4 linked regions of the Lonchura striata genome follow. The protein of the gene in region 1 purifies or fractionates together with the protein of each later gene. This does not show direct contact. Links are inferred from orthologs where the notes say so. Each region holds a gene or a part of one and is shown in the gene's direction. Other genes may lie near its edges.

Region 1 (7,051 bases):
AAAGAGCCCAGATTTCACAGACACAGTGATCAGGTAGAAGAAGAAATCTCTTTGTAGGGCAAGGTGTCCTTCATTTCCTATCTCAGTGCCAATTATTGCTATAGGCTTTCTTCACAGGTCACTAACAAAAGCATGTAAGCACATGCTTAACTTACCTCTGTTCGAAGGCCTTTTAATTAACTGCAAACACATGTCTATGTCTTTTCCTTGATAAAGCTGCTTTCCTGAATCAGTGCCTAACTGTGAATCCAACCTAGAGCTACATGAACAGTCATACTCACTTTTGTGTTGTTTTTTGATACAAGGAACAACCTTTTTATATGCAGGTATCTGGACAGTGAGTGCTTCTGTTGGCTTTGGTGATGCCGACTGCATCTAATTTGAAGAAACCTTGTAAGGACAGCTACCAGAGAGATACTGCCTGCGAGAAACGCAGCCTAAAATGAATGCTGACAGCCTTGAAGTGGAACAGACAGATGGAGACACGTTTGCCACAGTCCCAGAAAGCCCTCATTAAAAGCCAACAGGTCTGATGACTGCACAGAAAGGGGAAGAGCTGGGTGTTAAAAGGAGGCCGTGTGCTCTGTAATATGTGACTGCATCGGCACCTAGGCAGGGTTTCACCTTTTCCAAGTGGAAAGGCACACAGCGATGAAGAGCCCTACGTGGTGGAGATCTCTGCACTTGCAACCCTGCTCAGAAATTCAAAGGGGAAAAGCAGTGACTTTATTTGCTCAGCAAACATGCTGAGTAATAGCAAAACTCCCAGCCAAAGTCCTTCACACAGGGCTCGGCTGGCTCAGGAGAGCCCAGCAGGACTCGGTACAAAACGTTTGGCTGCAGGACAGGTGACAAGCAGCAGCTTTCTGTTCAGACTTGTCACCTGGCTCTGGGAGGGGAGGGAGCTGTGTGCCAGACATCCACAGCTACTTCTCCCTTCGGAACACAAAGCATTTATGGTAAGTAAACAGATTTTAGATGGGTCCTTCCACATCTGTGGACCGGAAGCTGAGCTGAGAAAGAATTCTTTGAGTCATGAACAATGCCTGGAAGCTGAAAAAAAAAGAAAAAACAACAAAAAATCCAGAGTCCTCCCTACTCTGAAGACAAAGTATTCTGCCTAAAAGCATAGGCAGGAACATTGTGTCTCCTGTAAAACACCATTTATGGTTTCATTAGGTACCTGTATCAGTCACTTTCCCATCAGTCTTAAAATTGATGGTGTTGCCAGATGGACAGCCCTAAATTAGGAAATATCCCTGTTCCTCTTGGCTGCTGGTGTATGGTAATACAATAGAAAAGCCTGGAAACAACAGTGTACAGCCCACTGGTTTACAAGAAAGTGTGGGGAAGAGGTAGCGGCGGAAACTCCTGTGTGGTCCAGCTGCCAGTCCATGCCTGGCACATCCAGCAGCCACAGGGGATCATTCATCAAAGTCCCTGTGTTTGAAGCCCATGGAGACAAGAGTGGCTGGGTCAAAACTGTATGCCCAGCCCTATTCATCAGGGAGCAGTGGAAGGCCTCAGGAACCATTTTTCTTCCCTGCCTGGGAAGACACCACACCCTCCCATTCTCCTGGGGTATATTGTCCATGTCTTGTGGCTTTTGGCCCCAAGTAGAATTAAGCACTCAGCATGGTATAACAGGACAAAAAGCTATCCCTGGACATGGCTAAAGATCAGCAAGATGCCATCCTGTAAGGGGAAAGATGCAGTACACTGGACAGTGGTGTGAGGCAGATCAGGAGGTCTCATGGTGAAGAGATGTAAAAAGGATTACAAATTGATCTGGACATCATTTGCATACCAGGAAAGGAGTCCAAAAAGCCCTAACTCCCCTCCTTAAATCAGGCAAAGCTCTTGACAAGTTTATAATGAAGATTTATCCATCAGTGTTCTACTGATATTGATATTCTGCTGATTTCTCTTAGGAGGGGATTGAGTACTTTTAATCAAGAAAACTATGATGACACCCTGGTGGCAACCAACTAAAACCCAATTTCACTAATTCCTGGAGCTGAGCCAATGAGAGAGACCAAACTTGTTGTTCTCCCTTCCTTCCTAGCTAAATTCCATTGGATTAATAGCAATCTCTGTAAAATGATAACCCACTTCACCTGCAGTAATTAAAAGAGGTTTGAGCTGCACCAGTTTCTTTGACCCATATATCCTAAATCTGGGCAATTCTTCCTTGTTAAACTAATGGCTTTGTGTGGGAGTGAGGACGACACAACATGGGCATGTTCTGTTTGCATGCAATTGCCTTTCAGCTTCCCGGTTATTTACTTGTTAGTAAGTGACGTCAGGGCATACGGGAAGCCAGGTGAGGAGAATGTTATAGCAATCTAATTGCTGACTCTTTTTACAATGGCTAGTAAAGAATCCTGCATGCATCCTAGATTTTGACCCAAGGATACTTTCACAGGTAACATGGTTTAGGGTCACAGGTCATCACAGCAGTACCTCTGGTGCCCAAGCCAGCTCTGCCATGTGAGGAAAATTAAGCAAAATGGCACACATTCCCGCTTATCCCACACATGGATAAGAGTGTGGTATCCAGATGTGGGCTCTTGGGGATGCTGCCAAGCACAGGGGAAGCCTGTCCTGAATCACTGCTCTCAGTTATTCTCATTGACAAGCTTTCCTTGTGGACACGTGAGCACCTTCTGTCATTTTACTGCCCAAATTAAGTCAGGAACCTTTGCTCGGACCCTGAATCACAATCCCTTTGAAATCTCCAAGTACAGGAACAACATTTTGCGTTCTGGCTACATCTTCCTTCTCAGGCCACCAGTTCTCCTCCAGCCTCTGTGGGTCCACAGCTCCACCTCCACGGCTGCTGTCTCCTCTCCACGCTCTGCTCATGGAATGTTCTTTCACACTCTGTCTCTTGCTGCCGTGTTTGTTGGTTCCCTAGAACACAGTGAGCAAAGTAAGAGGTCAGCTCTGCCTTTTTGGAACTTTGGCCGTTTATTTTTTTTTTATATGTTGTGGTCACGCGTCTGTGGTTTTTCCGGATGTCTCAAAACACTTGCTTTCCCTTTCCTAACTACAAGCGTAACAAACCAGTGTCCAGGGAACCGACCTTTTGGCATTAACATATTTTTCCCTATATTGTTATAGAAAAATTATTATAAAATTTATTAATTCGTATTTAACATTATAGAAATTATTATAGATTTATTTTATGAATATGTTCTTATATTATACAGCCTTCTAAAACTTCAAGCAGAACTTCTTGTAAAAACTCTTCCAATTTTTTTAGCCTCCCATCAGTTATTAGTGGTCGCGTTCGCACTTATCTTCCTGCCCTCAGTGGCAGAAACAGGAAAAGATTAAAAATTAATCTTTTAATTAGACGGAGGAAAAATTAAAGAGAAAGATTAAACAGAGAAAATCAAACAGAGACGCCCGCCCCCGCAAAAAGTCGCCGAAGACCGCAGATCCCACCCGAGATCCCCGCTCCGGGCGCGTGACGTCACAGCGCCCCTCACGCCGGGCCCCGCCCCCGGGCGCGCGCCGGGCCGGGGCCGTGTGAAGCGCACCTTTTGCACGAGTCCCGCTCGCCGCGGGCGGGGCCTGCGGGGGCGGGGCGGGAGGGGAAAGCCGGCCGGTGAGCCAATGGGGATCCGCCGTTCCCCGGCGCGTCACGCCTGGCCCCGCCCACTCCCCGTTCCAGGCGCGGGCGGGCGGAACGGGGAGGCCGCGGCCCGCTGGGCGTTAACGGGCGGGGGCGGGGCGCCGCTGTCGCGAGGGCGCGCTGGCCAATGGGGAGCGGGGCCGGGCGCGGGGGCGGGAGGGCACGGCCGGGCGGGCGGGGCGCGCCGGCCAATGGGGCGCGGGCGGGGGCGTGTCCGAGGCGGCGCTCGGGTTCCGTGTGAAAAGAGTGAGGGGGCTCGGGTGCAAAGTTTGCTCGCCCGGCGCCTGCGGAGGGAGCGGCGGCGGCGGCGGCGCGGGGGGAGCGGAGCGGAGCGGCCGCCCGAGCGCTCGGGGCTCCGACCGCCCGCCGCGCTCCTCGCGCCCCCGCCGGGGCAGCCGCGATGTGCGGGGGGATGGCGGCTCACGGTCCGGGCGGGCCGCGGTGCTGGCAGAACCGGCGGGCGCGGCTGCTGTGCATGCTGGCGCTCACCTTCTTGTTCTTCGTGGTGGAGGTGGCGGTGAGCCGCGTCACGTCGTCGCTGGCCATGCTCTCCGACTCCTTCCACATGCTCTCCGACGTGATGGCCTTGGTCGTGGCGCTGGTGGCCGTGCGCTTCGCCCAGCGCACCCGCGCCACCAAGAAGAACACGTTCGGGTGGGTGCGGGCCGAGGTGATGGGCGCCCTCGTCAACGCCGTGTTCCTCACCGCCCTCTGCTTCACCATCCTGCTGGAGGCCATCGAGCGCTTCACGGAGCCCCACGAGATCCAGCAGCCGCTGGTGGTCATCGCCGTGGGGGTGGCGGGGCTTATCATCAACCTGCTGGGGCTCTGCCTCTTCAACCACCACGGCGTCGGGGGCCACGGGCACGCCCACGGCCACGGGCACTCGCACGGCGGCCGGCAGCAGCACCCCCGCGGCGGCCCCAAGCCCGAGCAGCCTCCCGGGGACGGGGAGGCTGCGCTGAACCGCGACGAGACCAGCACCTTGGTGGAGAACTGCAGCAGCTCCAACGGAGTCAGCCAGGAGAAGCTGGGTAAGCCCCGCGGGGAAGCGCCGCTGCTCCATCCACGCGTAGAAAAGCGGGAGGGGTCGTTTCCCCGAGTGGGGCCGTGGCCGTCCTGGTCCCACCTGGTGCGGGCTCTGTCAGGACTCTGTGAGGACCATTCTGTCCCCACTCCTGGAAAAGAGGCGAGAAACTTTCTTAGCAGCTCTTGTGGCACATGGCTGTCGCACCTCTTCCTCACGCCTTTCCTTCGGATGCCCTAAGCTGCATGTTTGTCTTGTAGACAGGTCAGAGTGTAAGAGAGTCTCAGGATAAAGCAGTTTGCCCTGGGGAAAAATTTGGTTCTGCAAGGAAAGGCACATGACAAGCGTTTCTTGCCTGGCCACACGAGCTGTCACAAGACGCTCTCCTAATGCCATCCGAACTGGCTGTGCGGCTCAGTGCCTTGGTCCTGGCAGCTGGATTGCTCCATTGGGTCAGTTATCAGTTACCTGGGAAGCTACTCTCCATCTAAACCAAACACACGGAAGCGTATTCCACTGCAATAATGTTGTGTCTCTTCATAGTATCGGTATTAATAGGAAGAAGTCTTGGAAATTGCCAGTCAGAACTGTGGAAGCTGGAATGTAGAGCATGCTGGTGTCAGGGCACATGTGTGGTGTCTTGGGAATAATTTTTGTTTAGCTTTCTAAAGTATGTACCTTCCCACTGACCTGCGCACAGGCGTACGTTTAAAAATCTTCCCAATTGTGGTTAAACTGTTTCATAGGTAGGAATTTTTTGGTTTTTAGTGGATCCAGAAGCCTGGATAGTTGATTTTGAAGCTGCTTGGTCAAAGCTAAGTATTGTGTGCTAGCGGAGTGAAAGGTGTGTGTGATTGCCGCTTCTCTGTTCCTAGGGCATCCTTGTCACCAGAAGGAATGGACTTCAGGCTTTGGAACCAACTTCTTCAGTTTCAGGGTGACATCAGCAGACCATTGTTTTAGCTTAAAGGGAGCTTTAATTGGTCAGAGTGAACTTTGCTACAGTAACAGGTTTTCTGTGCTCAGAGGTTCGAATACACATTTGAGAAACTTAGTTTCTGTTTCTCCAACTCTGTGTTGGTTTTGGAAAGACAGGTTTTTCAAGAGGATAGGAAAGTTCATCTAAATACACTACACCATCTTCTTGACGATGTAATAAGCTCTTAATGTTGGTTTAGTTCCAGCAAATGTATCCTAATAATTAGGTTCAAACAATGTAAAATTACCTTAACCCTTAGTCTCATTGGCTTGGGAATTATTTAATTTAATGGTGAAAAGTTGTGCTTTTAGCCAAGTTTTGGACTAGTTAGAGAAAAAAGGTATAGCATGAATTAAAATGGATATTGTTGTGAGCTGACTTGTCTAGAATGTCTCATGGATGCACTTCTGGCAAGAGCAAATAATTTGTTGTGGGTATTTAGGTGGTAATAGGACGTAATTTTGGTCACAGTGAAACTTTGAGATAAGTTTCTATTTCCTTCATTGCCCTGTCATGATTATGTAATGGATGGAGCTACTCATAGTTTGCCTATGGAAAAGTTGGAGGTAAAGGTGATTGGAGGCTTGGGAGAAGATGTAAGATGTAGAGATAATGGCAAAGGTGATCCTGTGCCTTCACTGGAAATCACAGAGTGGGGTAGTCCTGATTTCCTGAGGCGGAAGTGAAAAGTAGGCATAGCCTTAGTGGCTAGTCCTGCACAAGAATTTCTATGGATGCACTTTATGCAAAATAATCAGTTTATTGTTACATTTTAATGAGCGTATTTCAAATGGGCATGTTTTAACCATTTGCCTTTAAAAAAAGTTCAAGAGCTTTCTGGAACTATGTTTCATGTTACCCACTTGTATAGACAGCTGTACTGACCTTTCAGATCTCCACTATTCCAAGTACTTGGTACAAAGTAGAGCGTTCCTCTTTCCTTGCTCTCATTGTGGACCTTGAGGTCTGAACTCTGTAACCCGAGATATTTCCCTCTAATTCATTTACGTCTCTGGAAAGTTACAGGTCCCATGTTCCATAACTCTTAGAGGCAGTGTGGAAAATGTAGCTGGAGCTTCAGGGCAGAAGCATACTGGATGAGGCAACGAGCTGGGGCTTGGAACTCAGCCTCGGTAGGAGCCCACTCCCTCTTCAGAGAGGAGAGCACTTGTGCGCACTCCGCAATTGCAGAATTGCAGCCACAAGGGCAGAACAGCAGAAGCTGCACGTCTTATTAACGTGTTAATGTTTACAAAGCTCTGAACTCAATAACCTCAAGGAGCAGTAAGAGCTCCTTGTTTCAGTTTGTCGGGCCAGGGGCCAGTGCCTGTTGCTTTTCTTTACCACTGGAAGTAGCCAAAAAAAAACTTTTGAAGAAAAGCAGGAGGTTAATCATGTACACTTC
Region 2 (7,516 bases), on another chromosome or scaffold:
AGTGACAAAATTTTCTTATCTTTTTAGAAAAATGCCTACAGCATTTCTTGGTGCTATTAGACAGAAGCTATATAGCAAAGATGTTTTGGAATAGTCAGAAATAAACCAGTATAGAATTCCAGCACTACCTACATGGATTGCTTTCCATATATGTTGTTACTGCTGTGATACCGTGGTGCAGCTGTAAGTGAGCAGTGGAACTGTGGGCACACAACCCATTGTTCCTGCCAGGAAAAATAAGGCCATGTGGCCAGGAAAAATGCTCGGCCACCACTGCAGAATATTGCCTGCTGCTCTCAGCTGGAGCAGCAGCAGAGCCCAGGCATTTAATGCAGCTCCCTGCTTGTCCTCTTCTGTATTCCTTTTCCCCCATGGCACCAGCCAGAGTGACACTGTACTGGTGGTACAGGAATGTTTCCACAATCCATTTGCTGCTGTCACAAAGCTTGGCAAACATTTGTTGCTAACAGCAACTATATGTTGGTTTCAAAGAGAAAAAGTAATTTGAAGAGATTGTATCAAAAAAATTCTGATTTATCCTTCCATACACTTTTCCAGATGCTAAGCTATCACTATTCAAAGAAAAAAGCAAGTGGACTGCAGTAAGCACTTCTGTTATCAGAAGAAAGCATTTTCAGATAGTAGATAAAACTAAATCTTATTTACATTCACTTACAGCTGTGATCGTATTGATTTTGTTTTTATGATAAGGAATGTCTTTCATGAATTAGTCTGCTTTAATGTATGAAAGGACTCTATATAAATTTTAAGTCAGTTGATACTGTTTTCTAATGAGAATTTTTGAAAGGAAGTAATTTAGCAAATGTGATCCCAAAACAACAGGAAATGAACAACACATAGCAGTTCATTTACCAAACATTATATAAATTATATGCTTCTGAATCCAAAAATCAGTACATCATAATACCAAAGATTTACTATTTATTTAATCCCAAAACACTACATGAAAAAATGTAGTCCTTCAGCACTCAAAGACATAGAGGCCAAAACCAGGCATTGACAAAAAGGAAATATTGCTCAGTGCAAAATAAAGGGCATGGTAACAATACATACAGGAAGATTTTTGTGTGGTATGTTGGTACAGAAGCGCTGTCTCTCCTAAAGCTGTGGCAAATCAAGGCATTATTCCAGTTTCTGAAAGCAGCGAGATAAAATACCCTGGCATTCCAAGCACCTGTAACTTGTGTCATTGATGCCCCACGATGACAATAAGTCTGTGTCCTTTCAGAGCTCCAGAGCAAGCTCTGGACTGGGCTCTCAGTGCCCCAGCTGGTGCTGGCACTGCAGCACTGCCAGCAGAGCCTGAGGGGGAGCCTGGCATTGCCCCAGGCAGGCGTGAGTTATTCTGCTGAAGCCACGGCCTCTCCCAAGACCCCGATTCACTGCCCGGAGCAACAGGATTCGTTTGGACAGCAGCAGTGACAAAGGGTTACAGAGTGCAACTTTGAGGATTTTGAGGGATATAAATCCCAATGAATAAAATATTGTAGGAGGGTTGATTTAGGGCTATTAAAATTTCTTCATGATTTTGCATGCATTGTTCAGTATCTGTTATAAATAATTTGCAACACTTAAGGAAAAAGAAAGCGGTTTCACATGGGATCATGTTGGAATTGTGCCATCAGTAAAGCTGAGCTGTGGTATTTGACAAAAAGCCTTGTGTCAAGGCAAACTAATGACTATTGTTTGACAATTAAAGCTCAGAATTTTCAGGCAAAATAATGGACCATTTTTCTTATTCTACATGCATGTTTCACCTCGGCTCAAGAGGTTAATAGAACAAAAATATCCTTTGTTGAAAGATTGCCTTTTTTCTTTTCTCCTTTGGCCTCATTTACATTACTCCTTCACTTTGGTATCTTGTTCTCAGATTAGCTCTTCTTTCTCTTTTTCTTTTGTTTCTTCCCCTCCAGGCCACACATATGCTTTATTAAAAAAAAAAAAAAAAAAAAAAAAAAGCATGAGAAAGAAAACCAAAACCACTAGAGGCTGGAGCTAATGCTGTTCTGGAAAACGCTTCTTTTTTGAATAAGCTATTGCCAGCCAGCCACTTCCTTTTCTCCAACTGTACCAATTTAGGAACAGTGTTTAGCAAAGTTTAGGGAAACATTTTTAAAGTCTGTCTCCTAAATAACCATCCTATAATAATATTTTAGGAAAATTCAAAGCTGAGACACATAAATTATAAATATATAAATATATATACTATTGCTCTCAGATGCTAGGTCTGCAACTACCTGTCTAAGAAAATCCTCATGCTGAAATGAATTGTATCTTAAAACACAGATATTTCCTAAATGTTTTACTGCCCGCTTTATTCACACACAATGTGGGAATTCCTCTGTACGCCTGTAAGATTAACACCAAATAGGAATTATAACATCTATCTGCATAAATACAGGTCTGAGTTATGAAGGAATATCTAATCTTAGAACAGCATGTTCTGATAGAAGAATCAGGAAACTATATGCAACATCAGTGCAAACCCATCATTTTTCCTGACATGGTAGACCTTTCATACAGAGATGACTATGAATACCCATGTTGCTCCTACAAGAGGTTAAGAAATCTATTTTTTCCTTCTCTCAGTCTGGAAAAGAACAAGCTTTGTGGGAGAGAAGAAATTCTGGTAAGCAGAGAGCACTTAGAGAAGAAAAAAAAAATATTCTGTGTATAATCCCCTGGAAGGCCCTGTATAGCTCTCTCCACATAGCAGCAAGAAGCTCATGTGCAGCAAGGTGGTACCTGGGAAACCTGAAGAACAATATTCAGAGTCTGGCTGCTCTCTAGGCCAACCAGTGGGTGTTGCAGCATTGTCAGAATGAAGGGTTAGTTAACAAAATCAGTCATTTCAGTTATCTCCATTCCGTTATCTTCTTGTATTCACAAATATTATGTCTACAGAACACTACAGCCTCCAGTGTGTCGGTGTCTACTAAACTCCTGCTCATTATCCACAACAAAGATGACAAGTGGGATGTTCAACCGTCATTGTAACATGCAATACTGAAATTTTGCATGAGGTCAGGTTTAAAATAGTATATTTACATACTGTTTTAAGAGTAATAAAGCCACATTTACCTAGTTTGAGCAGTGCATATGTGAATATTTAAAACCTTCTGATAATTCTCTTCTATGAATATACTTTTTAAGTATGTTTTTGAGGGATACCTAAAATGATGATCTAGCATTGTGACAAGTTTTAATGGATAGGAAAGTATCTGGATTGATGGATGGCAACACCAGCCAAGTGTCTTTTGCCTGTTTATTAAAGGTATTCCCTGGAAAGACCTTTGCTGTCTGAGGGCTTGAAATCTAGACTGAACAGATCTGGCTGGCCCTTGGACACCCAGCCCCCCTCCCATGCTGTGTAGTGTAGCTATTTATGAACAAATGGGTTTCTGCCTGCCTGAAGACAAAGGGCTGCTCTGTGCTAAATGGGGTACAGATCTCAAAAGAGCAGTAACGTGACAAAGGATGCAGCTTCTGCTGCTCAGACCATTGGGGCTCTGTGCTGGAAAGCCCTCAGGGCCTGCCTTTGAGGCAGGTGAGCAGTCCCAGGCAATCCAGCAGAGTGATGTCAAGTTAGGGGGTGCAGGTCTGTACCTAATAAGCCTTTACTGGCTTTCTCTTGTTTTTGATGAGCGGAATCAAAAACGTTTGGATCAAAAACGTGGAAGGCCAATACTACCTCACCTGCTTCCCAAGCTTCACCCTTTTAAACTGCTACAAGCCACCATTCATGTGCGTGGCTGGAAGCTGCATGAGTTCCCAAGCTTGGCTTCTTTTCAGGTCAAGCCCTGCAGAAAACTAATAATTAGAAAAATAATATAGTGTAATGAAATGTTCTTCTGGAAATACAGAACTGTACATAAACACTTGGATAAGTAGAAGATAATTACTGGTAAATTCTGCTTCTTGTTTCCACCATAAAGGCTATATGACAATTTCAGGGTTTTGCTAACACTTGAGATACCAGCATCCCTGTGGTGCCGCTGGACCTCTGCGAGCCGCGGGGCTGCGGGGCTGGCAGAGCAGCGGTGCCGGGCAGCGCCGCGGCCGTTCAGGGTCACTGTCCGGGCGGGCAGCGCGGCCGGGAGCGGCCGGGAGCCGCCGGGAGCGGCCGGGAGCGGCCGGGAGCGGCCGGGAGCGGCCGGGAGCGGCCGGGAGCCGCCGGGAGCGGCCGGGAGCCGCCGGGAGCCGCCGGGAGCCGCCGGGAGCCGCCGGGAGCGGCCGGGAGCCGCCGGGAGCGGCCGGGCGCGCTCGGTGTGGCCGCGGCGCTGCGGGCTCGGCCGGCGGCCGCGGAGCGCGGTGGCAGCTCGCAGTCTCGCCCTCGGACGAGCGCTCCGCGCCGCGCCCCCGCCGCAGGGGAGCGAGGAGCCGCAGCGCGGTCCCGCGGCCCCTCCCTGCTGCCGAGCGGCGGCGGCGGCTCCGCTTCCCCCGCGGGACTGCGCGGGGGACCCGGTCCCGCCCCGGGGGCGGTCGGGGGCGGCCGGCCCGTCCCCTTTAAGCGGCGCGGCGGAGGGTCCCGCCCGCTCATTTCCGAGCACGCAGGAAGTGCAGGCGGCTCCGCGCCGGCCCGCGCGGTGAGTACGGCGGCGCCGGGCCCCTCGCCCTCCCGCTGCCCCGCTCCTCCCGGCCCCGCGCCCCCCACTGCCCGCCGCTCCCGGCCCCCGCCGGTACGAGGTGCCGCGCAGCGCCCCCGAGCCCTCCCGGCCGCGGGCAGCGGCCCCGTGTCCCGGCCCCGTGTCCCGGCCCCGTGTCCCGGCCCCGTGTCCCGGCCCCGTGTCCCGGCCCCGTGTCCCGGCCCCGTGTCCCGGCCCCGTGTCCCGGCCCCGTGTCCCGGCCCCGTGTCCCGCCCGGAGCGGGCTGCGGCCGGACCGAGCGGCCGTGGGTCCGCGCAGCCGGCACCGCCTCGGCTTGTCCCGGCCGCCCTGACGAGGCGGCCCGGCACAGCGGGCCGCTCGGTTGTACCGTAGCGCAGTCTCAACAATAAACCGAACCTGTCCCTCTCGGCTGCGTTTCCATTGTGTTGGCGGCCGTGGGCGTGCTGGGAGCGCGTTGGTGCAGCCGCAGGCAGCGGGATGCAGCGGGCGGCCCCCCCGCACGGCGCTGGAGCGGCGCGGGGCAGCGCCCGGCCGGGCTGGCTGCGGGGGCCTTTGGGCTTGTTGGGGCCGCGAGAAACCCCCACTCCTCACACCAACCCCCAAACAGGCGAAGTGATGATGAGGGTGCTTAATTATCCTCGGTGGAATGGTGAGCATTGTTTAAACTACTCGTTACATCTCCGTTTTTGTCAGATGCGTTCTTGCTCGGTAAATTCTGTGCTCTCGCAAACTGTGAGAGTTTGGTATTGAGCATAAAAATAAATTGTGTAATTGTCACTAGTCAATTAAGTCAGAAATGCTAAAGCAGAAACGGGGGATGTTGCAATTTTCAAGACCTTTTTAAACCGAAGTATGTAGAAATTTAAACTTGATAGTCCATGTTTTCAGTGAAGTGTAATCAGTGTTTATTATGTGGTTTTGTTGTTTGTTTGTGCTTTTTTCTCTTCAAGTCCCTCTGTCAGGTGGAATTTGAGACACTGATCTCTTCTGCTAAACTTGTAGATGATGGATAAGGACTAACTTTATTGTCTTCTTTCCGGTAACTCAGAAGAACTGCAGAAAAGAAAGGTTGTTTCAACACTGAGTCAGTATTTCTCAGTTTAAGGTCATACAGTAGAAATACCTTTTTTTCTCCCTGTTTCTTTTCCATGGAGGCTGTAACGCTAGGCCTTGTAGGACAGTTTCTTCTTTTCCAGCATGCACTAGCTGCAAGTTCCTATCTTGCTTTAGTGTGTTTGAAGGAAACTTCTGGCTTCCCTTTATTAGCTAGATAGAGGGTCCCCAAGGAGCACCAAAGACAGCAGTTTGGAAATATTCCCAGTAGCTGTCAGTGGAGGTAGGTGCGTTTTGCAGAGAGGTGTTAGCTACGAGCCTCAATTAAACCCTGAGGCTTTTGTGGGAGACTCTACCAGTGAGTCCTTATCAGAAATATCAGGAGACCTGCACTGAGCATTGCTACAGCATCAGTGTCCTAAACCATCAGCAGCTGAACATGGGAGGAGGAATGGTGGTGGTTGTTGAAGTGCATGACTGTATAGCCCAAATAGACATTCTTTAGCTTGTCTGTTGCTGGAGAAAACATGTGAGAACTTCAGTGTGATTAAGATTAGTTGATCTTGAATAGTTCTTTTCCTTCTTGATCCCATGACTTAGTTTTAGCGTTTTTCTCAGGCTTAAGGAAGGAAGGAATAAAGGAGAGAAAGGAACCCCCAAACCTGTTGGTACAGCTGCTATATTGTGGTAGAAGTTGCACCAAATTACCCTTGAATGTAAATTCTTTGCTTTTATGTTCCAACCCCAGGATATGGGTCTTCCCAAATCAGTGAGAAATATCATCTGAGGGCATGGTTAAATAATAAGTAGCTGTGGTCTCTTACCAAGAAAACCCACAAGCATATTTGGCACAAGAATTTCAACCCCTGCATCACAATCTGCTACTTCATGCTTGCCAGAAGTGTTCTGTGGACCTCTTTATAAAAAGAATCCATCAGAATTACCTGAACTTTTAAAAGAGATAAAACTCAACTCCCAGGAGGGTGGGTATGAGAAATATGAGGTCAGTTTTTTTCACTGCAGAAAACAAATTGCACAATATTTTTCTTGTCTCTGAAGCAGCCTGTCATTATGAAGCAAGCTTCATGACTTGCAGTATTTTCTCCTTAAATAATGCGGAAATAGGATCACAGAGGTGGGATGAAAGTCAGGCTTTGGAAAAGTGCTGGAACTGATAATGTCCTTGGCTTTTTGTTAGTTCATCTGCCCTCTGAAGGATTAGCCATTCAGAATAAAAGTATGGAAAAAGTCCATAGTAATTTTGCTTCTGCAAAAAATAATGTAGAAAATAGGCAGGGGTTTCAAGAGTACAAGACTTGAAAAAAAATAATAAAAGTCATTCTCAAAGGACACATTGGGAAGAAAATATTTTCAGGAGCATATTGTTTTTAGAAAAAAAGACCAAACCACAAATAACTGTGCCTTATCTATGTATCTAATTATGCTCTTTTAAGATTAGTGCTGGAAATGGGGAAATGAGACCAGAACTCACAAGGTGTTTATAAAAGAAATAAAATGCTTTTTGGAAGGGAATGGGAATATAGTTTTATTTCTGAGTTGGAACCACAGCTTGTAAGAAGAAATCTGTGGAAGGGCACTTCTTACTGTCTGCCAGAACAGCTTCATTCTGAATTATGATTAGAAAAGCCCAGCAGATCCATTAATGTTATAGCTCATGAAAAAAAATCTGAAAGTGTGCAATTACTTTAATATCTTTAATTTCTTTTTTATTAAGCTCTTTAAAATTCTGGTTTTGAGGGCAGGAAAAAATCTGTAAGTTACAGCCCTCCAGTCATGAGTGCCTTTCAGTGCAAAAGTAGTTGAATAGGGTACTG
Region 3 (7,049 bases), on another chromosome or scaffold:
TTCCTTAAAAAATGGTAATGACATTAAATAGTCTCTTTTGTCTTTATTGTTTCTGTATTTCCTAAACTTCCCATGTTTATCCTATCTTCATAGAATATATATTTTAACATATACAATAATGTTATTGTACCATAAATGGGATTTGTTAGGTGACTGTGTTAGTTATTTCTAATACTAAGTTATTAGAAAATAGTGTACTGGAAGAGTACCATGCTATACAGCAGGAAATCTAATAAGTGGTTTTAAGAGTCAAAATTACATCAAGAATTCAATTAAATCATCAGAATTATTTTTTTATGGAAACTGTCTGATAAAGTTACCATTAATGTGCTGAAATAAGGAGTAAGGAGTGATATGACTCAATGCACTGGTGAGTAGACTCTACAATCTGCTGCATCTCTAGAATTCCTACAGGAAAAGTACATAATCAAAGATTTCTAAGCAAAACAGCCTGAAGATAGGAGACATTAACTGTAGAATAAACCGGTTTAGAAAAAAAAATCTGAGAACTACAATTCAAATTATTTGATATGTAAAATATTAATAATATTCCAAATTTATTATACACTGTTCTCCCATTTGTCTGTCCTATTTCCCTTGCTGTAAGGGCAGGAGAAATGTCTTTTAGAGCATCAATAGTCAATCCCAAAGAGGACTGGAAGAGTGCTTTGAATTTGGGTGGTGGTCTTCCTATGGGAATAGAAGGTTGGCACTGTGCTGTGACTGACATTGCTTATTCTCCATTTCTCTGTCACCCACTAAACTTTGTTATCTTCTGCTAAACCTACATGATTGGTTTTGGCTGTGAATCAAGTAAAGGATGATCAAAGGGAAGAGTTCAGTGTCTTGCAACAGCTGGTTTCCCTGCTTTCTCTCCTTATTAGCCAACAGTATCTGAGCTTGAACTCCCACTGCTGGAAAAATGCCTCAATTTAATCTGGATAATTTAAGTGTCTAAAACAGTCTCATAACTGATAAAGAGGCTATAAATGTGTGTATAGTATAAAATATGAAATGCTGTGATAAGATCAGAGGAGGAGAAATGTGATGCTTGAATTACCTTCTTAGAGTTTCTCTATAAATTCTGAGAATATGGAACTTAATACACTGAATGAATTTTATTTACTGAAAATCAATAAGCAGAAATGTCTGCTAGGCTTAAAAGGATGTTGCCCAATAGACACTAAAGAATGTTAGTCTAATACAGTAGTAATATAATATGTGGTCAGTGATAGAGTGAAAATATTGAATAAATGACAGCAAAGCATATTTAATTTTAAGTGAGGAAAAATGATGTTTTGTGGAGCTTACATGCCCACCACTGTTCTGGTCTTGTACAAAATGCCCTTCCCAGTCTCCTGCTGCCCTGATTTTGGAACTGCCCAGTAATTCATGAATGTACTGTGTTGACATGGCTGGTAGGAATGTTTACATTTGAATACAGTTCCACAGCCTAATGGGTGCTGTCAGGAAAGACAAGCAGGAAGGGGAAGGAACACTTCAGATAAGCAACATCTCCACAAGGACTGCTAGGCACTTCCTTGTATAATTAAGCAGGCTTGTGGGGGGAAAAGGCTCAGTAGTACATGCAGGCAAAAGAATTCCAGCTGGTTTGCTGAAGGAACTTAGAACTGAGCCTGGGGGGAGTTGTTCTGAAGGTCTGGTGAGACTCACAGCTGGGCTCCCTGGCTTACCTTTGGGGGAGAGGATTTTAGGTATCTGTGTTTACCTTAGAGACCTCTTTCTGGTAATCCCTTTCTTGCTAGCATTTCAATAATAGAAGGGAAAGTTGTTTTATCACTGCATTTGATGCCTTGTGTAGGCTGACCTGGAACAGAGACTAGACAGAGTTAAAGAATAAAGTAGGGATTTATTAGGAGGCCTCAACAGATCCACCTTGGGCAGCACAAGAGCCCAGCCTGGGCTACACCCAAGGTGAACCCAAAATGGTCACAAAATGCATGACCAGTCATGGGGTCTCTCACTTGTATAAGTTCTGCTCCATTTGCAGATTGGAATTCATTGTCCAATTAGAGCTTTAGCTCATTAAGTCCCACCCTTCTTGCGTTTCTCTCCAGTCCATGTTGCTTATGCTCTTGGGCCTGAGATTTGGATCATTTGTCCTTGGTCCCCAGCTAGAGAAGAAAATATTTTGTCTACCCACTCTGTGAAGAGAGCTCACCATCCCCTAATACGAAGCCTTGACCCACACACTAAAGCAGTACGGAATCTGAAAAATATAAAAGCTAAAACCTGAGGCATCACATTTTATTAGAAAAATGGAGGATCCACATCATGGACCACACGAGGCTGTGCAGCCTGCCCTGCCAGCGAGGCTGCTCCAGAAGCCAGGCTCCTTGGGTCAGCACACAGCAACAACAGCTGGGCTCAGCTCTTCAGTGTGCTTGGGACCTTTTCAGCACCAGGGATTCAATTGATTATAGCAATTTTCCATCCAAAGAGAAAACACTCTCCAAATAGTGGAGCAGAAAACAGAGAAAGTGATTCCATTCTTTCTGGGAATCCTTTCTCAGCACACTAATTGAGTGGCAAAGCTTGCTTACACCACAGAGGATTTGCTGAGGTTGTCCAGAAGTTGGTTACAACTCCAACAGTTTATATGAAAATGACTACATCAAAATTATTACCTAAATATACATGGTGAGTTCTTTATGGCTTGTCAAGAGAAAAATATGCTGAGTATACAACTACTGCATCAGAATGTTAATGACAAATGTAACACTGGGTAGGAATTTTGAAAAAATCCATTAAAACACACCCAGGTTGTATGCTAATGATGCAAAGGCAAAAGCTAGCAAATTTCTTAATTTATTTGGTGTGCAATCAATTATCTGTATTTTTTATGTGACAAAACCAAGATCTATTTCCCTGTAAACAACACGTAACTAGCCTGAATTAATTTTATTTACCAATTTATAATACAGTAAGCAGATGTCTGTTTAAAAAGCAGTAAATTTATCTTTTGTCATTTTGGATTTTGATTAAAAAGTTCTTTTATTCCTGGAGGTGGAAAAAATAAACTAGTCTGTCTTTACAAATAAGAACAGGCATGGAAAGGAGAGTCTTAATCCCAAGCCAAATAAAAACAGACCAAAAAGGCATTGTAGCCCATCTAGCTATTGGAGGGAGAAAAAAACCCAAACAATCCGCAGTGGAACACTGTCTAAAGCTCTCAAGTCAAAAAATTTCCTCAGGGGGGTTGAACATCAGAGAAAATGAACTGCACTCAAAAATCCTCTGGCAATGTTCTGCTGTTGCTCTGGTTTTGCTGATTTCGCAGGGTAGGCAAGGTTGGATGTGATCAGAGCTGGACCAGAGGAGGTTCCAGGCAGAAGCAGGATCCCGGAGGGGTTTGTCTGCCAGGGTTGGATGTGACCAGAGCTGGACCAGAGGAGGTTCCAGGCAGAAGCAGGATCCCGGAGGGGTTTGTCTGCCAGGGTTGGATGTGACCAGAGCTGGACCAGAGGAGGTTCCAGGCAGAAGCAGGATCCCGGAGGGGTTTGTCTGCCAGGGTTGGATGTGACCAGAGCTGGACCAGAGGAGGTTCCAGGCAGAAGCAGGATCCCGGAGGGGTTTGTCTGCCAGGGTTGGATGTGACCAGAGCTGGATCAGAGGGGGTTCCAGGCAGAAGCAGGATCCCGGAGGGCTCTGGCTGCCAGCGCCACCCTGCCCGGCTCTGAGGCGCGCCCCGCGCGCTGAGGGCTCGGCCGCGCCTCGGCCCGCGCCGCTCTGCGCACGCGCGGCTGGCAGGGCGGCGCCCAGCACGTGCGCGAGCGCCGCCGAGGCGGCCGCCGCCCGCCCGCCCGCCCGCCGGCCCGGGGCGGGGCGGGGACGAAGGAGGAGCCCGGGCGAGGGGCCCGGCCGAGCCGCCAGCCCACCCTGCCCGGCCCCGCTCCGGTTCGAACGCGGCGCGGCCCCGCCCGGCCGTCGGCGAGAGAGAGGGAGGGAGCGGGTGTGCGCGGCAGGCCCCGGCGTGTCGCAGCGAAGGCGTCCGGGCGGGCCCCGCTGCCGCGGCGGCGCGTTCCGCCCGGAGCGTGTGCGCGGGCCCCGAGCGGAGCCGCCGCTGCCATGGAGCGGGGGGGCGGCGGCGGCGCGCGGGGCTGATCGCGCCCCTTCCCCATGAGACTGTGGCTGTGCTGGCTGGGCTGCTACACCCTGCTCCTGTGGGTGCTGAGGAGGACGATGTGGGCTGGCCCGGCCCGGTACCTGCGGAGCCCTTTATCCAGGTCCCTCTACGTGAATATGATGGGCAGCCACCGCCAGCCAGCCCCGGACGCCAGGGAGAACCACCAGGTACAGCCCCGGCGGCGGCCGCGCTGCCCGCCCCTCCCCTCCCTTCCTCACCGTGCCGGGCTGGGCGGCGGGGCCGGCACAGGGACCCCCGGCCCGGGGAGCTCCGCCGGGGGGGATCGGCGGGAGCAGCGGGGACGCGGTGCGGGCTGCGGGGCAGCGGGCCGGGCGGCGCAGACAAAGAGAGCGAACTGCTCTGTCCTGCGGTGAGAAAGTTGCCGTGGCCCTCCCTGCGGAGCGCGCCCGGCGCTGCGGGCTCGGGGGACCCGGCGGGGGCGGCAGCGCCGGTCCCGGCACCCGCGGCGGGGCGGGGCGGGGCCGGGGCTGCTCCCGGGAGAGCGGCGCCCCGGCTGCTGCTCGTGCGCCCCGTTTTTTAAAATGCACGCCCCCGTTTGTCCGGTGAGCGATGTGAGAGCGCTCCAGGGAAGTTTGCAGCTGGTGGTGACGGGGGTGGGTTTGTAATCACAGAGATGTTTGTAATTAGTACCGGCGCATCTAGAGGAAAACAAAAAAAAAGTGGGAAACTGAGACTCCCCCAGAGGCCCCGGAGCAGTAGGAGGTGGCAGACTAGGAATGAGTTGTTGCAATGTGATCCGACGGCGATGAAAGGTTAGTGCTATGTTTGGGCAGTGTGGCCGCATGGGTCGGTACCTTGTGGAGAAGTTAGGGGCCATGCCCTTGCAATGCAATGGTTATGTGATAGATTTCATTTGGGATTTGTTCAGATCCGTACTATGTTTTGGCGAAATGCTGCTAAAAATTTGACAGGCGTTAGAAGGGCTAATAAAAAGTCTTCGTGCAGAAGGAAGCTGGCAGCTTAATCTAGGTTAAATATGCAGAAACGAGCTAACGAAGATGTAGTATAAACACTTGAGGACTGCTGTACAAAGGAAGACCATAATTCTTCCTGCTGATCCATTTCTGCAGCCTTCTTAGTGCTCTGGGTGGACACTGACATCCAGAATCTTGTTGGAATTTAATGCTTGTGCTCTGCTGTTGGGAACATTCAGGACATAAGTACAAAGAGAAGCAGAATTCGGGTTTACACGAAGAACTTCCTTCTGGTGAACAAAGAAAATCTGAAAGTCTTTTGTGTTGTTAAAAGCTGTAGCAGAAAGACAAGTCAGGGAAATGTGTTGTGGAGGTGCCTGTGTCATTCACAGGTAGATGGTCTGCAATGGATAATCTCCATCTCTATTTTATTTGAGCTAGACTTTAAATGTAGATATTGATGATTTGGTACATTTAGTAAGATTTATGGTTACTGAGTTTGTGGGGTAAGCAAGGGTTGCATGTTCAGACTGCTGGTACTTTGCGGTTTTACTGACTTAACTAGTTTTATGTAAATTATCTAAAAGAAGCTTTTAATCATTTTACTAATATTAGGCAAGAGTTGCAATGTTTATAAATTTTTTGTAACAATGGTCTTAGCACAACAGTCTGAAAATACATAAGAGATTGGCACATACTTTGTCACATAACCAGTGGCCTTTCATATGTTGTGTGTGGAGGAAAACAAAAGCAGTTTCTATTCTGAGGAAGTAGTTCTGGAATTAAGCTGTTTTTTACCAATTTTTTCATTTGAAATTTAGATTGGGGTTTTTAGGTTGGGGTTTTTGGGGGCTGTTTTGTTTTGGTTTTTTCTTTTATAATGTTTTAGAATTTCTGTTATTCACCAGTGTTACATAGGTAGTTGTCAATAACCTTATTGGCAAGTTTAACCATGAGAGATCATAAAATCATTGAATCATTGAGGTTGAAAAAGAGCTCCAAGATCATCAAGTCCAACCTTTGACCAAATAACACCATACTCAGTAAACCTTATTGAGAGGAAAGTGGAGATCTGTGAACAACACCTAATTTTTGGAAATAAGCTTCTGTTAGTTGTCATCATCATCTTTCTGCCAGTGGTTATGTCAATATTTAGAAGTTTTAAAGACAAGAATTGTAGGGCTGTTGTTTTTCAGTGGAACTGCAGGAGAGAGTTCAGTGCAGAACCTCAAGGTGTATGAGCTCAGGTGTAGTCATGCTGCTTATGGAACAAAGCCTCTGTTTCCCAAGGCTGTTCTTCTGGATTGAAACTGGCAACACATTGCAAAAGGCAAATAAATCATCTGAGCCACTCCAAACCTGTTCAGTGGAGTGAGGCAGCAGCCTTGTGAGTGAACCTGACACATCCCAACCTGCTCCTGAACTCCTTGGGATCATTTGCTTTTGCCACAGTCTTGGAATTGACTTCTGAATGAATGGACAGAGTACACAAACTGCTGCTTTAGTGGTTTTGCAGGAGCCACTAAGGATTCCTTTTGGGAGTCACTGGCCTACGCTGATTTATTTAACAAGTGCTGAGCTGCAGTGAGAAGAGACCTAAAGTGGTGAATCAGCAGTTCTGGGGATCCCTGTGCCAGGCTCAGAATCTGTGTTTCAGAGGAAAGGATCACTCACTTGTTCCACCCACCAGGGTGTTTGAAAGTACAGTTGAGAGCCTGATTCTGCCAGAAATGCACCCACTGTACAGGAGGTTTTCAAACCTCAGCAGGCAGGTTTGCTGCTCAGCTGAGGGGTCTTCCCCTGCTGCCTTGAGCCAGTGTTTGATGGAGCCCCTGCTCATGAATGTGGCAAAAGGGCCCTGGAGCACTGTGTGCTCCCCTGTGCTTGCTGGCACTGCTGCTGGGAAGCTGCAGTAAGAATCCTGTCCCATTCCAGTGATGGCTGCAAGTTCCACTGTGCTGACTGCT
Region 4 (6,834 bases), on another chromosome or scaffold:
GAAATTTGAGACATGAAAGTAAATGTTGAACCAACAAAGTTTGTGTAGAATAGTTGTAGAAAGGCTGTTTCTACTTTTTGCTGTTCTCATTACAGGCCCTAAGCTTAGTATAAAAGTCTCGTGTCTTGCAGCCACACTAAGTTTAGGGCAATCAAGCCTTTGTATTAGGAAGCAGTAGCCCTTGTATAATTTTCAAGGATGTTTGTGTTGTCTAAACTTAGGTGAGCACAAGAAAAACTAGAATTTCAATGCACATTTCTGTCAATGAATGATCACAGTCTACAACTGTGTTGTGAGGGCACAACAATTTGCTTTATGCAAAGACAATTTGCTTTATGTAGTTGTGAGCCCCACTCTGCCCTTGTGCATGTATAAATGGTGTCTCTAGATATATGCTTATATATCAGATTATTTATACCTAGATAATAATCCTCCTAAACCTCAAATCAGCAGATGCAATTCTTTATCCTCTTATTTGTTTACCCTATGGAGACAACTTAAACAGAGTTTTTAGGTGACACAGTACCAATGTGAGTTTTCAGTAATCAGTTTTCAGTAATTCTGAAAGCTGTGGCATTATGTTGACCTGCTGTTTAAGTGTATTTAGGAAATTAATTGGCTTTTCTCCATGGAAAGATAAGCAAAACTGGGATAAAACAAATTGAAATCTGTAAACTATGGTAACGTTAAACTTTCTGGCATGTTGAGTTTTAAGAAGTATTTCAAACATTTATAATTCTGAATCAAATGTGTAATAGTCTGCATATTATTATTGCTACAAAATTAGTAGTGTTGTAGAATTGTCCAGTGGATTTTATTTCCAAGCAGAATAATCTTACAAGACAGTTCTTGCTTTGTATGTGGTCTAATTATGGTAGGAAAAGCAAATTTTGCCCATTTAAAGTGCACATTTAGTCTGAATAAAAAGAAACTTAAGGATATCACCTGTAAGCAGTAATTTTTAGTAAGTTGGTTTTTAGATAGCTGCCTATGAATTGATAATATACTTCCTAATCAGCAGTATTTACGAGCAAATGGGTGTTTTAGTAGATCTTGGAGAAAGTAAGACTCCTGGTGTACAGATGGGACCATGTGACAATATAACTGCATAATATCCACCTTAGACATAGGTTTTTCTAAATGTTTGTTTTTCTCAGCCTGGCTGGCAGGCAGTGTGTAGTGTGATTGGCTGGAATGTAAAGCTGCCTAAAGCTTAGTGGCAAAATTGCTGTCTCAGTCCAGGCTGCTGGAGATCTTCACTGGCCACAAAACCCTCTGTGACAAATTCTCCAGGATGACTTCTCTAGACTAAGAAGTTGCTTCCCTGTAGCTCTACACATTATGTATTCTGTTCCCGACTCTCATCTGTCTGGGAAACAGTATCGGTCTCTGTGCTAAAGGATGAATCCCACCTGACTGACAGCTGGTGTGACTCATCAGGAGCACTGGAGTTTTAATGGCTTAGGGAGTAGCTGTGTAACTTGTGATCTTCAGCCTTGTTCCCCTGTCCTTTTGGGTATGATAGGATGTCCAGTATAAACTGCACTCAATTAAAGCCTTTTTCAGGTCAGGTGCAATGGTAACATGTTGCTTATCGGCAGAAATGAATGTACCATTAAATTTGATGGCTCAGTGTCACCAGGCTCTGGTAGGCTCTGTGTTCTAGGGCCTCTGCGACTCACAGGTTTCAGCCCTCAATAGTGTGATTAACACCACAGCTATGAAGATCTGGATTCCATATCGAGTTTTGACTCATGTTAATATTCTGCTCAGTAATGTTAGGAAACTTCTATTTCTATTCCAAGGGGAATCTAAGTGAAATAGTAGATAGTAAGGTTCCATTGTGGGTTAACATCTTGTACTTTGTACCAGACAATAGAAAGGTTCAATTCCAGTTCATGTTTCTCTGTAGGTATGAAATACAGTAGTGCGGGACAAAGCAGAAGATCCCCAGCACATTTTAAAACCATTCTTCATATGGATTTTTAGTAATTTTCTATATTAGCCCATTGAAGGATAGTATAATATCTTTCCTATGTGTTCCAAAAGTCTCTTGGAACAACAAATGTTGAGGAATTCAACTTACATTCTAATTCATCTTGATTTCAGAGGTGTAATGTATGTCCATTGCATATTGATTAAAGTAGTGTCTGTGGTGGCTCATTAATAGTATCAATTGTTTTGACTGTTCATAAGGTTTCATGTTTTATGTTAGTGTCAGTACATTGCATACAAACTTAAATTTCTGAATTATCATATTGAATTATGCCACTGTCTGTGCTAGAGAGTTGGAATTTGTTTACATTAATTTGGATGAAGGTGTATTTGGATTGTAGAGGTATTTCTTCGCCTTCACAAACAGCCCACATTGCAATCAGATGGATGTGTGTTCCAGGTGCTCATTAGTGCATTGTGGACTTCAGCCCCTCTGTCCATTAGGACCTGATCCAGGAAGTCCCTGATATCAGTGGCAGTCTTTCCACTGATTTTTGAGATTATGGATTATACCATTTGGGGCTTTTAATGTTAGACTGCTAAAGGATCCTGTATTAATACTGCATTTTTTGCTCTATGGGGTTTTATATTTTACCTGTTTGTATACTGAGCTGAAATAGTTTTAGAAAATGCAACCAGACCTTCCAACTGCTGTCAGCAAATCCCTGTACAAGAGGAAGTTTCTCCTGTTTTGCATTATGACATCAGTACACGTGTTGTCCAAATTACTAGGTCTCCTGGATAGAGCATAAACTTTGTAGCACTAAACTAAAAGGGTGAGAACTAGAACGAGCGGAGGGTTGAGGTCATGTTTCCAGGACTGCGGTGCTTCTGTGCAGCCATCTGTTTTAAATTGTGGATGTTACCTCTGCTGCTTCAATTTGATAATCTCAAATTACACAGTGACTATAACATGACCCTTTGATGAAACTGCAAATAATAATATATAAGTACAAAGGACATGATATTTTTACAGTGTCAGAAGGACTTAGCTAATTATTCTGATTCTTCAACACACAAAGTATTTTGAGAATCAATTTTTCAGGCTACAGTCTGCCCCATTCATTATGGACACTTTTTCCCAAGTTGGAGTTTATGGCTTGTGCAGTCTGACAACCAACATGCCTTGCTCCCGTGCTTACACAGCGGCACAGTTTTAAAACAGGGTCAACTCTGGAGAGGCACTACTGGGGAAAAGGATGAGTGTACCACTTTGGTATATAACCTTTCATATGCTTGCTTTATCTTTCTGCATACAGTATTTTCTTGTTTCTCTTCCCATGGAAGGAGATGATAGAGGAGGAAAAATTCCACTCACTTTTCTGTTAGGAGCCTAAGTTTTCCGCGTTTTGACAGAAATCGCCAAGAAATCATCGTTTCCTCAAGCAGAGACGTTACTTTCTCCAAAATAATGAACTTTTTTTTTTTTCTCCGCGCCTTCCTCTGTACTCGGTGTTTTTCAAGCATTCCAGCAGTAAAATGTAAAAAACCCCTCCCCTTAAGCTGTAATTGTACAGACTGTATACCTCGCCCTCCTTCGCGTTATGTACGGCTGTAGACTTTGTATCTAAACTTGGCTGCGGTGTGTGTGGTGTGTCATCGCGCGGGCCGGCCCGGCGGCGGCCCCGCCCTGCTGCGGGCGGGCCGGGCGCGGTGCCGCCCCGCCATGGCGGCGCTGCGGGGCTCGGCGCGCCGGGGCTGCCCGCGCTGCCCGCAGCCCGCGGCCCTGGCGGCGGCCGCGGCCCTGGCCGTCTGCGCCTTCTACTACCTGGGCGGCGGCGGCGAGACCTTCTCCAGCGCCACCCGCCGCCTGCGCGCCACGCCGCCCGCCCCGGCGGGCCCGGGGCCCCGCGGGCTGCACCTCCTGTTGATGTTCACCAAGGCGGAGCGCAGCCCCGCGCTCCGCGACAAGGCGCAGGCGGCGCTGCGCTCGCTGCTGCGGCACGGCCGCCTGGGCGCCGCCGACGTGCTGCACCTCCACCTCGTCACCGAGGGCGCCAGCCGCGACATCGGGCTCGGGCTGCTGCGGGACCTGCTGCGCGGCGCCGCCTTCCGCCACCAGGTGCGCGGGGGCCGAGGGGCGGGCCGGGCCCGCGGGGAGCGAGCGGGGTCTGCCCGCGTGTCCCGGGTGCTCTTCCCGCTGGGAACCGCAGGCCGGCGGGAAGGAGTCCCTCAACCAGCGGCCCTGTGCGGCTCCCAGCAGAGCAGCTCGCTCCCGCTCTCTGCTGGAGCAGCGCCCCCTGCTCCGGTCCCGGGAGTCTTGCGGGGCTCGTTCAGTGTCCCCGCCGCTGCTGCCTCAGGGGAGCTGGCCTGGTGCAGCCCGGCGGTTCTCAGCTGGGACTGGGCAGCAGCGTGGCCTGGGAGCACCACTGGCACACCACCTGTGCTGGAGAGGAGCAGTTGCTCTAAGCAGTGCTGCCCTCTTGCAGGCCCTGTTGGTGCCGCTTCAGCATCTCGACACAAGGACCACGTGTGCTTGTATCTCGATGGGTTCCCGAGCAGGAGAGAAGGTTGGCCTGCTGCTGGTGGCTCTTGAGAGCAGGAATGGAGAGCCTGCAGGGGCTCTAGTGCATCTACGTCCAAATGTTTCTACTTCCAGGGAAATGGTTCTGCCTCCCAAATCCACAGCTAGTGTAGTTTATGGGAGGTTTGGCTTCCCTTCTCATTAAACAGGTGTCTGAAAACTGGAGGGGTGTTAAGTTCAGAGATTCCAGGTAACTTGACTCTCCTGTCCTGAAGCTGCTGCTGCAGAGCATTGTTTGGAAGTTTCCTCTAGTCCTGATGTAACTTTTATTGCTCATAAATCCTGTATTTCATATTAGCTGAACTCTGCCAAGATGAAACTAGAAGTGTAACCCTAACATTTTTCATACAGACACTTTCCTGGTAAATTCTACCACTGGTTTTCTTTAAACAAGTCCTTTCCTAGTAGTGGCCCTCAGGTTATGCACCCATGTTGGGAGACCCATGCAGCAGTGCTTGGCTATCTGGAGGGTGTGCACAGTTCCCACAGGAGGATTCTTGCACTCCACAGCAGGATGGACTGAGTGCCCCATGATGGTGCTGTGCTGATGTGGTGCAACAGCCTAACCCAGGCTGGTGGTATTATGTCTCCTGGAGTGGGAGGACCCCCATGCCACTATGGTGTGCACATCCCTTGCAGTCACCCCTTTGTGTAGGCAACTGCCTTACTGCCATCTGCCCCTCTGGGAAACAAGCTTCTCAGCAGGCAGCCTTGCCAGCCTCCTTTCTCCAGAGTAACATGGCTGGGAGTTGGAGGCATGAAGTGATTTGTCTGTTGTGGATTGGCCCCTGTCTGTAGGTGCCTGTGGAGTCACAGTGAAACCTGGCTCATGGCTTGGTGAGTATGTCTGGTACCAGAACTGGTCTCCTGGGTGTAAGCAGGGCAGCATGATCTGGAGGCCTCAGGTGAGATCTCACTGAGATCTGCTCAGTGGGACAGCTGCTTCTCTTTCCTGGCAGAGCCTGATGTACCCTGGTTTCAATGGCCAGCCTGTGGTTGCCAGTGTGTTTTGGACCGGACCATTTCTCTGCTTTTAGGTACAGTGCAGAGGCTGTTCTGCTTCTCAAGCATGCAGCCTTGTCCTAATCCTGTGCCAGTTACTGCAACACCAGCAGGTGACAGCACCTCTTTATTCTTGTTGTAGCACCCCATTCCTCTTCTCTATCAGCAGGAAACTTATGCCTAGCTTGGATTTCTGGTGTCCCTGCTAAAATGTTGAAGATGATTGATCCTGATGCTCGGCTAGCTCCAGCAGTAACCCATCTGTATCCTGAAACCTCTCGTTTCCTGCTCCTCATGGTGCGTGCAGAACTCTCTGCTGCTTGTTATGCTGTTTTCCTAGCACAGGCCCAGATATAAGGCTTGATAAAGGGCTCAGTGGGCAGCTGGAACCACTAAGGCCAGACTGATAAAACTCCCTGAACTTTACCTTTTCTTCATGAGGAAGTGATTCAGGCCCAGCTTTTGGAGCTGCCTATGCCCTCCCATCCTAGCAAAGCTGGGATCAGTTAGCTTCTCTATTGGAGTGAAGCCCAGAGTCAGATATGGATCATAACCACTGGGGGAGGTTATGGGCAGCTTTTCTCTCTCCCTAGGCAGATTCAGGGCTTTCAGAGTGTCCTGGAGACTGCGGCAGCCGGCTGCAGCCCGGGGCAGTGTGCAGTGAGGGCAGAGGGGCTGTGGGGTGCAGGCGGTGGGTGTGTGGCAGCAGCTTAGGCACTGGAGCCACCCAGCAGGGCAGGGCTGGCCGGGCGTGGGCAGTCACCGCCCGCGCTGGCCGTGCAGATGTGCCCAGATGTGCAGCCGGGAACGCAGCTGGCAGCAGAGGGAGCTCCTGCTCCGCCTCTGCGGCCGGGAGGCGGCGGCAGGACCCAGCCCGCGGCTTTCCTGCCCGTGCGGGGCCTCGGTGGGCTTTACCGGGGCTTTGTGACAGCACACGGCTGGCAGGAGGATCTCTGTAGCCTCTCCCGACCCCCGGCCAGCGGGAGGTGTCCGGCAGCGAGCCTGGGCCAGCCTCGGCTGACGCTGCTTACACAGAGCAGCAGCTTGCCCCGTTTCCTGCCACTCCAGGCTGTGTGCTGCAACTCCTTGCACGATTCCTATCTCTTATTGATTCCATTTCCTTACCATAATAACACGGACTGCATGTTCGGCTCTCTGCTCATCCTGGTTTCCTGTTCAGATGAGCCCCACGAAGGACACTGCTGGGTGGATGTAACTGGGCTGCCATCACGCCACGCTTACAAAGACCTGCGAGGATGATTGACATGGGAAGGAGGGAGAGTTAAAGGGAAAAGAAATGCAGGTTGTTTTTT

What was found.
Region 2: the proteins of SLC30A1 (region 1) and CSGALNACT2 purify together in Homo sapiens (co-immunoprecipitation; 3 studies listed by BioGRID and IntAct, counting the BioPlex papers as one, with this or other methods). This does not show direct contact. The link is inferred for Lonchura striata from reciprocal best matches to the Homo sapiens genes SLC30A1 and CSGALNACT2.
Region 3: the proteins of SLC30A1 (region 1) and METTL9 purify together in Homo sapiens (co-immunoprecipitation; 3 studies listed by BioGRID and IntAct, with this or other methods). This does not show direct contact. The link is inferred for Lonchura striata from reciprocal best matches to the Homo sapiens genes SLC30A1 and METTL9.
Region 4: the proteins of SLC30A1 (region 1) and XXYLT1 purify together in Homo sapiens (co-immunoprecipitation; 3 studies listed by BioGRID and IntAct, with this or other methods). This does not show direct contact. The link is inferred for Lonchura striata from reciprocal best matches to the Homo sapiens genes SLC30A1 and XXYLT1.

The regions. Positions count from the first base shown.
Region 1 is NC_134605.1:12,216,222-12,223,272, forward strand, and holds the start of SLC30A1 (proton-coupled zinc antiporter SLC30A1), read left to right. Parts: upstream 1-4,040; coding exon 4,041-4,674; intron 4,675-7,051. UniProt on the Homo sapiens protein: Zinc ion:proton antiporter that could function at the plasma membrane mediating zinc efflux from cells against its electrochemical gradient protecting them from intracellular zinc accumulation and toxicity.
Region 2 is NC_134609.1:8,302,606-8,310,121, reverse strand, and holds the start of CSGALNACT2 (chondroitin sulfate N-acetylgalactosaminyltransferase 2), read left to right. Parts: upstream 1-4,515; 5' UTR 4,516-4,607; intron 4,608-5,024; exon of another isoform or gene 5,025-5,277; intron 5,278-7,516. UniProt on the Homo sapiens protein: Transfers 1,4-N-acetylgalactosamine (GalNAc) from UDP-GalNAc to the non-reducing end of glucuronic acid (GlcUA). Required for addition of the first GalNAc to the core tetrasaccharide linker and for elongation of chondroitin chains.
Region 3 is NC_134618.1:10,761,004-10,768,052, forward strand, and holds the start of METTL9 (protein-L-histidine N-pros-methyltransferase), read left to right. Parts: upstream 1-4,045; 5' UTR 4,046-4,140; coding exon 4,141-4,314; intron 4,315-7,049. UniProt on the Homo sapiens protein: Protein-histidine N-methyltransferase that specifically catalyzes 1-methylhistidine (pros-methylhistidine) methylation of target proteins.
Region 4 is NC_134612.1:15,219,047-15,225,880, forward strand, and holds the start of XXYLT1 (xyloside xylosyltransferase 1), read left to right. Parts: upstream 1-3,820; 5' UTR 3,821-3,865; coding exon 3,866-4,057; intron 4,058-6,834. UniProt on the Homo sapiens protein: Alpha-1,3-xylosyltransferase, which elongates the O-linked xylose-glucose disaccharide attached to EGF-like repeats in the extracellular domain of target proteins by catalyzing the addition of the second xylose.